Saccharomyces cerevisiae S288C: one gene and its partner. The protein of the gene in region 1 purifies or fractionates together with the protein of each later gene. This does not show direct contact. Each region holds a gene or a part of one and is shown on either strand. Other genes may lie near its edges. The genes, in order: MDM30 and FZO1.

Region 1 (4,264 bases):
TTGCCTTTTAGCTGCCATCCCTACAAGAGTTTTCATTTGATCTTTATTCTGTGGCGAGCTTTTGACATCAAAGGCAACTATAGATGGTGTGGTTCGTTGTCCTTCATCATTTTCTATGATTGTAGCTGATTTTTTGTCGTTAGAATCACGGATATATGCAACAGCACTATTCGTGGTACCCAGGTCGATACCAATGACCTTCTTAGTCAGTTGAGGGTTCGTTGAGTATAGTAATCGTGAATTGATATTCAACTTGAGAAAGTTGAGTCTACCAGATTTAAGCATGATTTTTGGATTTTTATTCCGTTGATTTTCTTCTTCTATGTGAAGTAAATATCTAAAGAAATCTTGTAAAAGTAGTCGTACTTTTGATGCTGCTGTTTTTGACTTAATACTGTTAGAAAATGTATACACCGTTAAGGAAAGGCCGCTCGGGCTGATAAAAAAAGGTGTAATAGAATGTGTCAGGATGCTACTTTTGGAAACCTCCTTAAATATGACTATAAATTATGTAAAGGCTGTTCATCATTCGCTAGATTGGAAAGCTTTTCCTCTATGTAAGGGTTTAATTGCATTCTACGCCTTTCTTTGTCATAGCCTTTGAAAAAAAGTCCCCAGTCAGTTCGTGGAACAACGGAAGAAAAGCTCTCCCACAACTTATCATTATCTCCCTGAAAAGGCGTTAGTCCTTCAGCCAGGCGTACTCTTATATCACCCAAGATATCTATTGTTGTTATAAAAACTTTGCCGTCCACTTCATATTGGTTTAAGGCACATAAAGTATCCTCAGTTTCAATATCCGTATAGAAATATCCAATCTTATTATTGTCATCAAGAAGAACGTAATCCCTCTTGTTGGACCAGCAGTCATTTGGTTCCTTAAGAGCATTTTGTCCAATGATGATATTCAAATCACCAAAATTATTAGCGTTAACGTAGTTCAGTAAATCTCTCAACATCTGGCCCCGTAAACTTGTCATTCCAGATTCAAACATGCCATCGAAAAGATCGTATATAAATGCAAAATACATCGTCACATCTCTGGGAACTTCCACTTTTCCGTATGGAAACATATCGCGTAATCCGTGTGCTCTGTTTGGATATCCCTCAAATGGCCTGGGCTTGCATCGCAGCAGTTCTCGAAAGAACTCCGTCAGAAGATGTTGTATCGATATTGGTTCTAATAATGCTGGTAAAACTGTACTTTCAAAATTTTCTGCGTTATGGAAGTTGTTCGACCAAACGCTCAAAAGGTCCTCTTTATCAAAAATGTATGGCTGGAAATCCTCATTCACGGTAACAAATGCCCGTCCATCTGGAAAGTCTGGTTCAGACACCACCAAATGATCTCGAGCAAGATATGAATCAACGTTATATCTCTTAGTGATAGCCTGTATTATTGCTAGAATGATAGTTTTATAACCTCGTCCTTCTCGGGAATATACTCTTAGTAACATGAAATCCTCTCTATGTAGCTCCCTTCCTGTGGCCCTATCATTTGTTTGACCCACTGAATCATGAGGTTGTGTGAAGCAGTCCAGATAGTCAGTACTGATTGAGATTAACTTGGAAACCCTAGTCACCGGTCGTAATTTCAAAAACTCTTCAATTTTTTTATACTTTTGTAGTAGATCGGAACATATTCCATTTAATATGAATTCTCTAGCATCTAGTAAGTCATCAAAAGACGTATCAATGGCAGATAATCTTAAATATATCATTTCAGCATCCCTTGAGGCCATATTATTAAGATTTTTCAATTCAGCGGCATTTGTGGGATAAAATAAAGGAAATACGTACTTATGTCGCACATTTTTCAACAGATAGTTTGCATACGTGATTAAATCAAGTGGTCTTTTATCAGGTATGTAGCCTTGTTTTATAATCCTATGCAGAAATGTAGCCAGTTTGTAATGTCTAAATTGGAGGATATGCAAATATTTCTCTCTGAAATGTTGGGGATTTGTTTCTTCAGTTAACCCCCATAATAGACAAAAAATTTTATTCTCCCATTTTGCTCTTCTTAAATAGTAAGAATACCATTGAGAGACGGGTATAGAATCGTAATCATTACCAGTTAAAATATCTAAGCTTTCTCGATTTATCCATCGGTCATAGCATCTTCTTTTCCAAATTTCATCACTTGTAATTGTCAAATACAATCTTCTGTTAATTAAACACAAGTTATGCAGGTCAGACGTCCCGACCAGCTTAGAAATACAAAGCCATATTTCTGGAGGTAAATGATCTATTGTGAAGGAAGAACCAACCATAAAGAGGTTTCTCCTCTTTGTCATGTATATGTGAGCCTTTTAGTAACTAATACCGAAAAATTGTTCAGGTTTCTCTTCGATTCTATACATATGCTCCTCCAGCTTTCACTTATTATGTAACATAAACAATTTTTCGCTATTACGCAAAAATACGGTTCCTTGAATATCTGAAGCTGAGAAAATAACCAAAGAGAAAAGACGGATATAAGAATTAATATTATATATGTACCACTACTAAAAACTTACTTAATAGACAAAACCCAAGATTTTACCGGAAACGTGCTTTCTTCTAGCTTCCTCATGGTCCATAATACCCGCAGAAGTAGTCAAAATAACGTAACCGAATTGTCTGGCTGGCAATAAGTTGGCGGTCCATTTTTCAATGTCACCAATCTTAACGTTAAATCTTGGGGAAATAACACCACATTTGTTCAATCTACCGTTCAGTTGGACGACAATCTTACCAGATCTGTGGTCGTCAATGTATTCGAATTCGCCAATGTAACCTAAATAAGGAGTAAATGTTAGTATTGAAGAATCTCATGGAGCGTTGTTGATTCGAAATTTTTGCTTACTTCATAAAAAACAAGAAAATGTTGTCTAAGTTGTGCGGAAGAATTTTGCCATTGAAAATTTTAAGAGTGAGATTTTGAGGAAAAGTAAACGGTAATGGATATAGTAGCTACACATGAGGTGTAATCCATAACCGTGTAAGAAGCATTTCCACATGGGATTAAATATCCCGGACACTTAAAAAACAGTATGGGACTAAGCACAAAGAACATCTTTTACGAGTCTTTGTCCAGTATAAATTAGTATACTGCCCGATCACACCATCTAGTTATCAGCCCGGAGTAAAAAACAATGGCAATAATTATTTCTTCGTTAGAGTTGCGCAACATTGAACTTGGACAAACCTCGTGGTAACATTTAAAAATAAGCAGAAATTGAAACACATGTGAAAATATTGAAAAATAGTTGGAACATACCATGCTTTTGCATAACTTGTAAAAACTTGATGATAACCTTGGAAGAAGGTCTCAATAGAACCTGACGTTTACCGGTCTTTTCGGCGTTATTAATGGCATTCAAAGCATCAGCTAAAACGGAAGAGCGAGTCATTTTTTACCTAATTACTATGTTTTGAAACGTTAGTATTATACTTATGCTTCGAGCTCTCGCATCTGATCTTCTGAAAAAAATAGTGGGTTAAAATGTGTCCTCCGGTTTATTATCGGTTACAGTGGTCTTGAAAACAGTACAAAATTGTAAGTATCCTAAAGATATAGGAGTTACAATCCTACGCACTTCGCCTTTGAATCACCATAGTTCTTTCGTAACAGAATAAACTGAACCGTAAAACTGAAGATGAAAAGGTAAATAATGCGGTTGTAATTGCGTAAAAATGGTATCAAAGACTAGAACTCTTGTAACAATATCCAAGTTCAACCGAACTTAAGAACATTTACATTTCAATATATTCCTTCCCTCCAACACATGGGCCCACAACTGAGGAAAATAATACTTTAGAGTTAAGCTACTTTGATTCTTAAGCAATCCCTGTTTACTTGTCTAGCGCAATTTTAAAACGAAAGACAAACGACCAGCAGCAGACAAAAAGTACAAATTTACCCAATACTTTTCAATCAACCTCAGCGGAGATCTTACCACACCTCGTCCACATACTTGTTGTTAATGTGGTATCTTATAATTTATTTGTTCACCTTAAATGTGTGGAAATTGACTTTGAACGTCTCCATATTTCAAAGGGAAGAGAACAATTTATCCAGCGTAGAAAACTTTTTAAGAGAAATGAAAAAAAAAATTTCTGAGAAAAGTTGCGTCCGTCATTTTTGACGGTAATTTTAGAAAAAGTTAGGGTTCTAGGATTACTGCGAAACGTAATGCATAAAGAATAATGATAAGAGTGTTCATTGGAAGTCTTCCAATGCTGGACTTGAAAAATAGGGTGTCGTCTTACTGGCACTTCT
Region 2 (5,269 bases), on another chromosome or scaffold:
TTCCATGAATCTATGAGCCAGTCAGCGGTGCAAACTCCACCATCCGAGAATTTGACAATTTCCCTGCCGTAGAATACAGGAAATTTCTTAGAGAAATCAGCAGCACCTAAGTACAAAGTTTGCAAAATACCTGTGAACAAGTAAGGACTCAATTTGAATTGGGCACCATTCTTCAACGTTGGGACATATTTGTTAGCGAACTCGTCAAAATCAACTTGCTCCTTGTTGTCTTTTAAATGGAGTTTAATGGAACCATTTTCACCGACAATATGCGAAACTGTACCATTGTATCCCCAATGGAATGGGTTGATTGCTGGCCATTTGGAAACTTCTGACATATCGGAAACTTTTATGAGCTTTGTTTTTTACGCAACTACTATCAATGTAATAATAGAACTTAAAAAACTGCTCATATTAATAATAAACGGAGGAAATACTCGAGGAGCTATTACTTCCAGGGACATCCGATATCTGACGCCTTTTAAAATCTGCACATGCGCAAGATTTAAAAAAAAAAAAGGATCTCGGAACCGGAACGAGATTGCTCATTTTTCGTTCCGTTTCCGCAGGTTTTGCAAATCATTAAGCAGATACACAAGGGTCCTTTTAATGTTTATGTAATTTCGTGCAAAGTGAAAAAAAAAATGGACCTGCTTGGAATAAAATAATAAGTAACATTATGTATATTGATTTGAAAAGACCTCATATATTTACAAGAATATCTAATCGATGTCTAAATTTATTTCTTCCACCATCAATTTTTGAGCCACGGTTCCTTCGTATAGAGATTGGAAGAATTTGATTGACAACAAGTTACTTTCTTTTTTGTTTTCCAATTCTTTCTTAGTGATTTGTTTTTTATCCATAATTATTTCACACGACCTTAGAATTTCACGTGTAGGTACACGCAAAACATCACGTACTTCATTTGAGGTTCTTTGAGCGTTAAGATGAATGTAATCCAGTTCTTGCAACTTTCTTTTGTATTTAATGGAAAGATTCATTGGTAAGGCACGGGGGAGGTCATGAATTAAATACGTAAGTCCCAACAAGGAACCTACCACTATAACCGGAACTGATAACTTCTTGAGTGAGCTCCACGACGATAATTTAATGCCGTTTAATATAATGTTCCCCACAACCTTTGTACTTCCTAGAAAGTACAGCGTTAGAGTGGGAATTTTTGATGTGAAGAGCAATGATGGTCTTGACCAATATTGTGTCAAAGGATAATTTTTCAAACCCAAATACTTCATTAGGCCAATCTGACCCTCGTTAGTTTGTCCTTCTATATCCGGCAGTGGTGCTGTGACAGGTTTCTGCCAGCTTAAGTAAGACAAAAAGCCTTTCCAAGTTGGAGCAAACAAATCAGTTATTGACAAAGATACTTTAAGCCTTTTTCCTATCAAATGCTTCCTTTTTCTAAACATTAGTTCGCTTCTGAAAACACGTTCACACATGAAATCATCACCAAGTTCATTTTTTCCAATCTCATAAATTTTTTTTACCAGTAAATCTGTCTTTTGCTTGGCAAATAATTCACTTGATCCTATTGACTCATCAATCTGATTTGCTATGAACGCTTCTGTTGAAAATATGAAGTCATAAATTTGACCGAGGCCCTGATATTTCGGATATTCGTGTAGCGGAACATCCAACGCATTGAGAAGTGCTTCTTTAGTATTGTTATAAGTCATTGTAATTGTTTGCTCGGCCATTTGATCAACGGAAGTTGTTAAATCATTGCACTTTGCTCTAGCGCTCAAAATTTCAGGTCTCAATGTTTCCAGTTGTTCGTTAATTTTTATTTCTTCTTCACTATACATTTTCATATTAGATTTGGAGATCATTATTATATCGCTTAATAATTTCGATAGATAAGTCTTGGCAGGTAACAATTTAGAAAGTGATCTTTTCTTCAAAACAAAATTGCGTAGAGAATCTTCCAGACTGTCAAAATCCGGATCGGGATCGCTGCTAGAATATGGGTCGTCGTCAGGTTTTCGGTCACCATGATCTTCATTGTCATTTTCATTATGATAATGTGGCAATTCATCTCCGTTTTTGGAAACAAAGTGGACAAAATCAGCTGCACGTTTATATGTTTCTGGGGACAGGTCACGGATTTGCTTTAGGATCAACTCCTTACAACGTTGTTTGTCCCTGATTTTGTCAAATTTTTTCACAACAAAAAACATTAATTTTTTCTCACGAGATGCTAAAGAAATAAACTCCTTGGCAGATAGTGTTAGCTGGTTCTCTGCATTGACAACAAATATAACTAAGTCGATTTCTTCTTGTCGGGACATTACTTCGGCGGTTTGTAACGAGTCCATGTTCAACCCAGGGGAGTCAATTAATGAAATATCAACAGTACCATTCCTTAATAGACTAGTAGAGGCAGGCCTTTTATCGTCCTTTATGTAAATCTTCAGTAAAGCATATTTTCCGTTTTGGGGAACCAAATCGGGAAGTTCTTTCAAAGTGTGTATTTCATAAGTCTTGGGATTTTGTATTGAATACATATCAATGGCTTCCTTGAGAGTCGGAGCAATGTTTAGTGGTATGGCATGAACCTCCTCTATGCCGTCATTTTCCCGAGCCTCTAGTATTTCGGAAAATACATTGGTACATGGTAGCTGATCCTCAGGTAGCAAACGCTGCTTTAATAGAGAGTTGCAAAGAGCTGATTTACCAGTATTTACATCACCTGTGATGAATACTTTAGATGAAACGTCATCCACTCTTTTTTTCAAAGCGTTTAAATGATTTGTCACTGATACGATCTGAGAGTGAAATAATTTTGATAAAGCTTTTTTCTCAATGTTGAAACCGTTCTTTTCTTTGGTATTGTACTGACCATCTAGCTTGATATTCAGTTGTAGAACATGTAATTTTTCCCGTTCATCATTTGCAGCAATAAAAATCGGGCGAATATTATTTTCTTCTTGAAGTTGATCCATAAAAGCTTGTGTCTTTAATATAGATCTTTTTAAAAGTACTCTATTGTTGTTATAATTCCACTGGCTAAGTTGTGAAGAAATTAAGTGTGCTTTTGAGTTGGAGGAACGCAATGAGGGCAACAAATCATCCTCCCTACGCCCCTCTTCACCATCAAACAAAGTGGTACGGTCATCAGTTACTCCATGGAAATTACTGCCTAAAAAATGACCTTCGTTGCGTGAGTAAGTAAGAGTTTGTGGTACTATTGTGGCGGCATCATCGTCCTGATCTGTGGAGTCCTTGTGCGGTTTATTGCTGTCTTTGAATTGTTGTTTTCCTTCAGACATCGTTAAATGAGCCTACCGTTTTGCCTCTATCCGTGATATCAGATAATGTTGCTATGTTCGGATGTACTTTGCTTTATTTATTAAGGGCTACTGTAACCTGCGTTATCCTGTTTCAATAATGCATCGTCCGTCTTAATTAATATTAGCCCGGCCATATTCTTCAGCATGAAAAGCTGTATTTACCCGGACTGCGCACCAACTTTTAAATATTAATCTCCGTTCGGTCTTTGCGCGAGTTATTATACTAGCGCCACGTATTAGTAATACTATAGCTATCTTGCCAGATAAGGGATCACAAGGAATTATATACCGTGGATCACAACTATCCATATCACTCTTCCCAATTTCGCGGAGAAATACTTATGCAGGTTTCCAAATCATTTCCGTAGCCAAAGCTGCCTGTTGGCCACTGTTTTGGCATCTCTCTACATTTTTTTTTTTCATTGATACTTTCAACCCAGACATTCTGTCACCTGGTGAAAAACGACACAAACTCCTTTGTAACAACAATTGCAATTTTAAGATATATGAGAATATTGATAAGGCTAGAAGGATGGTAGTAAGAAAAGTTGTTGTTGGTAATTTTTCAAAAAAGAGTTTCAAGAGCTGGGAAAAGAATTAAGGCAATGGGAAGCGAACCGTTTCAGAAAAAGAATTTGGGTCTGCAAATTAATTCGCAAGAAAGTGGAACAACCCGCTCAACATTTCATTCGCTAGAAGATCTAGGAGATGATGTAATTAATGAAAGCTGGGATCAGGTGAACCAAAAGAGAGCCAATATAGATCATGATGTCTTTCATGAGCACCCTGACTCTTCCCCATCATTGTCAGCACAGAAAGCAAAAACAAAAGAAGAGGAAGTTGCTGTAAAGTCATCGAACTCCCAGTCAAGAGACCCTTCTCCTGATACTCAAGCACATATTCCATATACTTATTTTTCCAAGGATCAAAGACTAATCATTTTTGGAATTATCATTTTTATAGGATTTTTGGGCCCAATGTCTGGAAACATATATATACCGGCTTTACCATTGCTGCAAAGGGAATATGATGTAAGTGCAACAACAATAAACGCTACAGTTTCTGTATTTATGGCTGTTTTTTCCGTTGGTCCATTGTTTTGGGGCGCACTGGCGGATTTTGGTGGAAGGAAATTCTTATATATGGTGTCGTTATCACTAATGTTAATTGTTAATATACTTTTGGCCGCTGTACCAGTCAATATTGCTGCCCTTTTTGTTTTAAGAATTTTCCAAGCTTTCGCTTCCAGCTCTGTGATTTCTCTGGGAGCTGGCACTGTAACAGACGTTGTTCCTCCAAAACACAGGGGAAAGGCCATAGCGTATTTCATGATGGGTCCAAACATGGGTCCTATTATAGCACCCATTGTTGCTGGGCTTATTTTAATGAAAGGAAATTACTGGAGATGGCTTTTTGGTTTCACTTCTATCATGACAGGAATAGCATTGATCTTGGTTACTGCTTTACTTCCAGAAACGCTACGTTGTATAGTTGGTAATGGAGACCCTAAATGGGGTGACAAAAAAGATGAACGTGAAAATAACGAATCTCCATTCTTCGAAGGTAATAAAATATCACATCGGCGTCTGTTCCCAGACATTGGTATCCGTAAACCAGTCAATAATGATGCTTTCTTCCAAGAAAATTTTCCAAAGCCGCCTAAAGCAGGTTTGACACTATATTGGAAAATGATTAAATGTCCTCCAATAATAATCACGTCCGTCAGTACTGCACTCCTGTTCTCCAGTTACTATGCGTTCAGCGTCACGTTTTCGTATTACCTTGAACATGACTACCGTTTTACTATGTTAGAAATTGGTGCTGCTTATGTCTGCCCAGGTGTAGCTATGTTACTAGGATCTCAATCTGGTGGGCACCTCTCAGATTATCTTCGTTCACGCTGGATCAAAAGTCATCCTAAAAAGAAATTCCCGGCAGAGTTTCGTTTATTACTGAAC

Evidence for each region.
Region 2: the proteins of MDM30 (region 1) and FZO1 purify together in Saccharomyces cerevisiae (affinity purification with western blotting; 5 studies listed by BioGRID, with this or other methods). This does not show direct contact.

What each region holds. Positions count from the first base shown.
Region 1 is NC_001144.5:855,573-859,836, reverse strand, and holds MDM30 (SCF ubiquitin ligase complex subunit MDM30), read right to left. Parts: upstream 2,298-4,264; coding exon 501-2,297; downstream 1-500. Other genes in the region: Hsp70 family ATPase SSQ1, read right to left, coding at 1-285; 40S ribosomal protein uS8 RPS22B, read right to left, coding at 2,520-2,779, 3,263-3,395. UniProt on the Saccharomyces cerevisiae protein: Substrate recognition component of a SCF (SKP1-CUL1-F-box protein) E3 ubiquitin-protein ligase complex which mediates the ubiquitination and subsequent proteasomal degradation of target proteins. Probably recognizes and binds to phosphorylated target proteins.
Region 2 is NC_001134.8:585,825-591,093, forward strand, and holds FZO1 (mitofusin), read right to left. Parts: upstream 3,291-5,269; coding exon 723-3,290; downstream 1-722. Other genes in the region: EHT1 (medium-chain fatty acid ethyl ester synthase/esterase), read right to left, coding at 1-338; DTR1 (Dtr1p), read left to right, coding at 3,917-5,269. UniProt on the Saccharomyces cerevisiae protein: Essential transmembrane GTPase, which mediates mitochondrial fusion.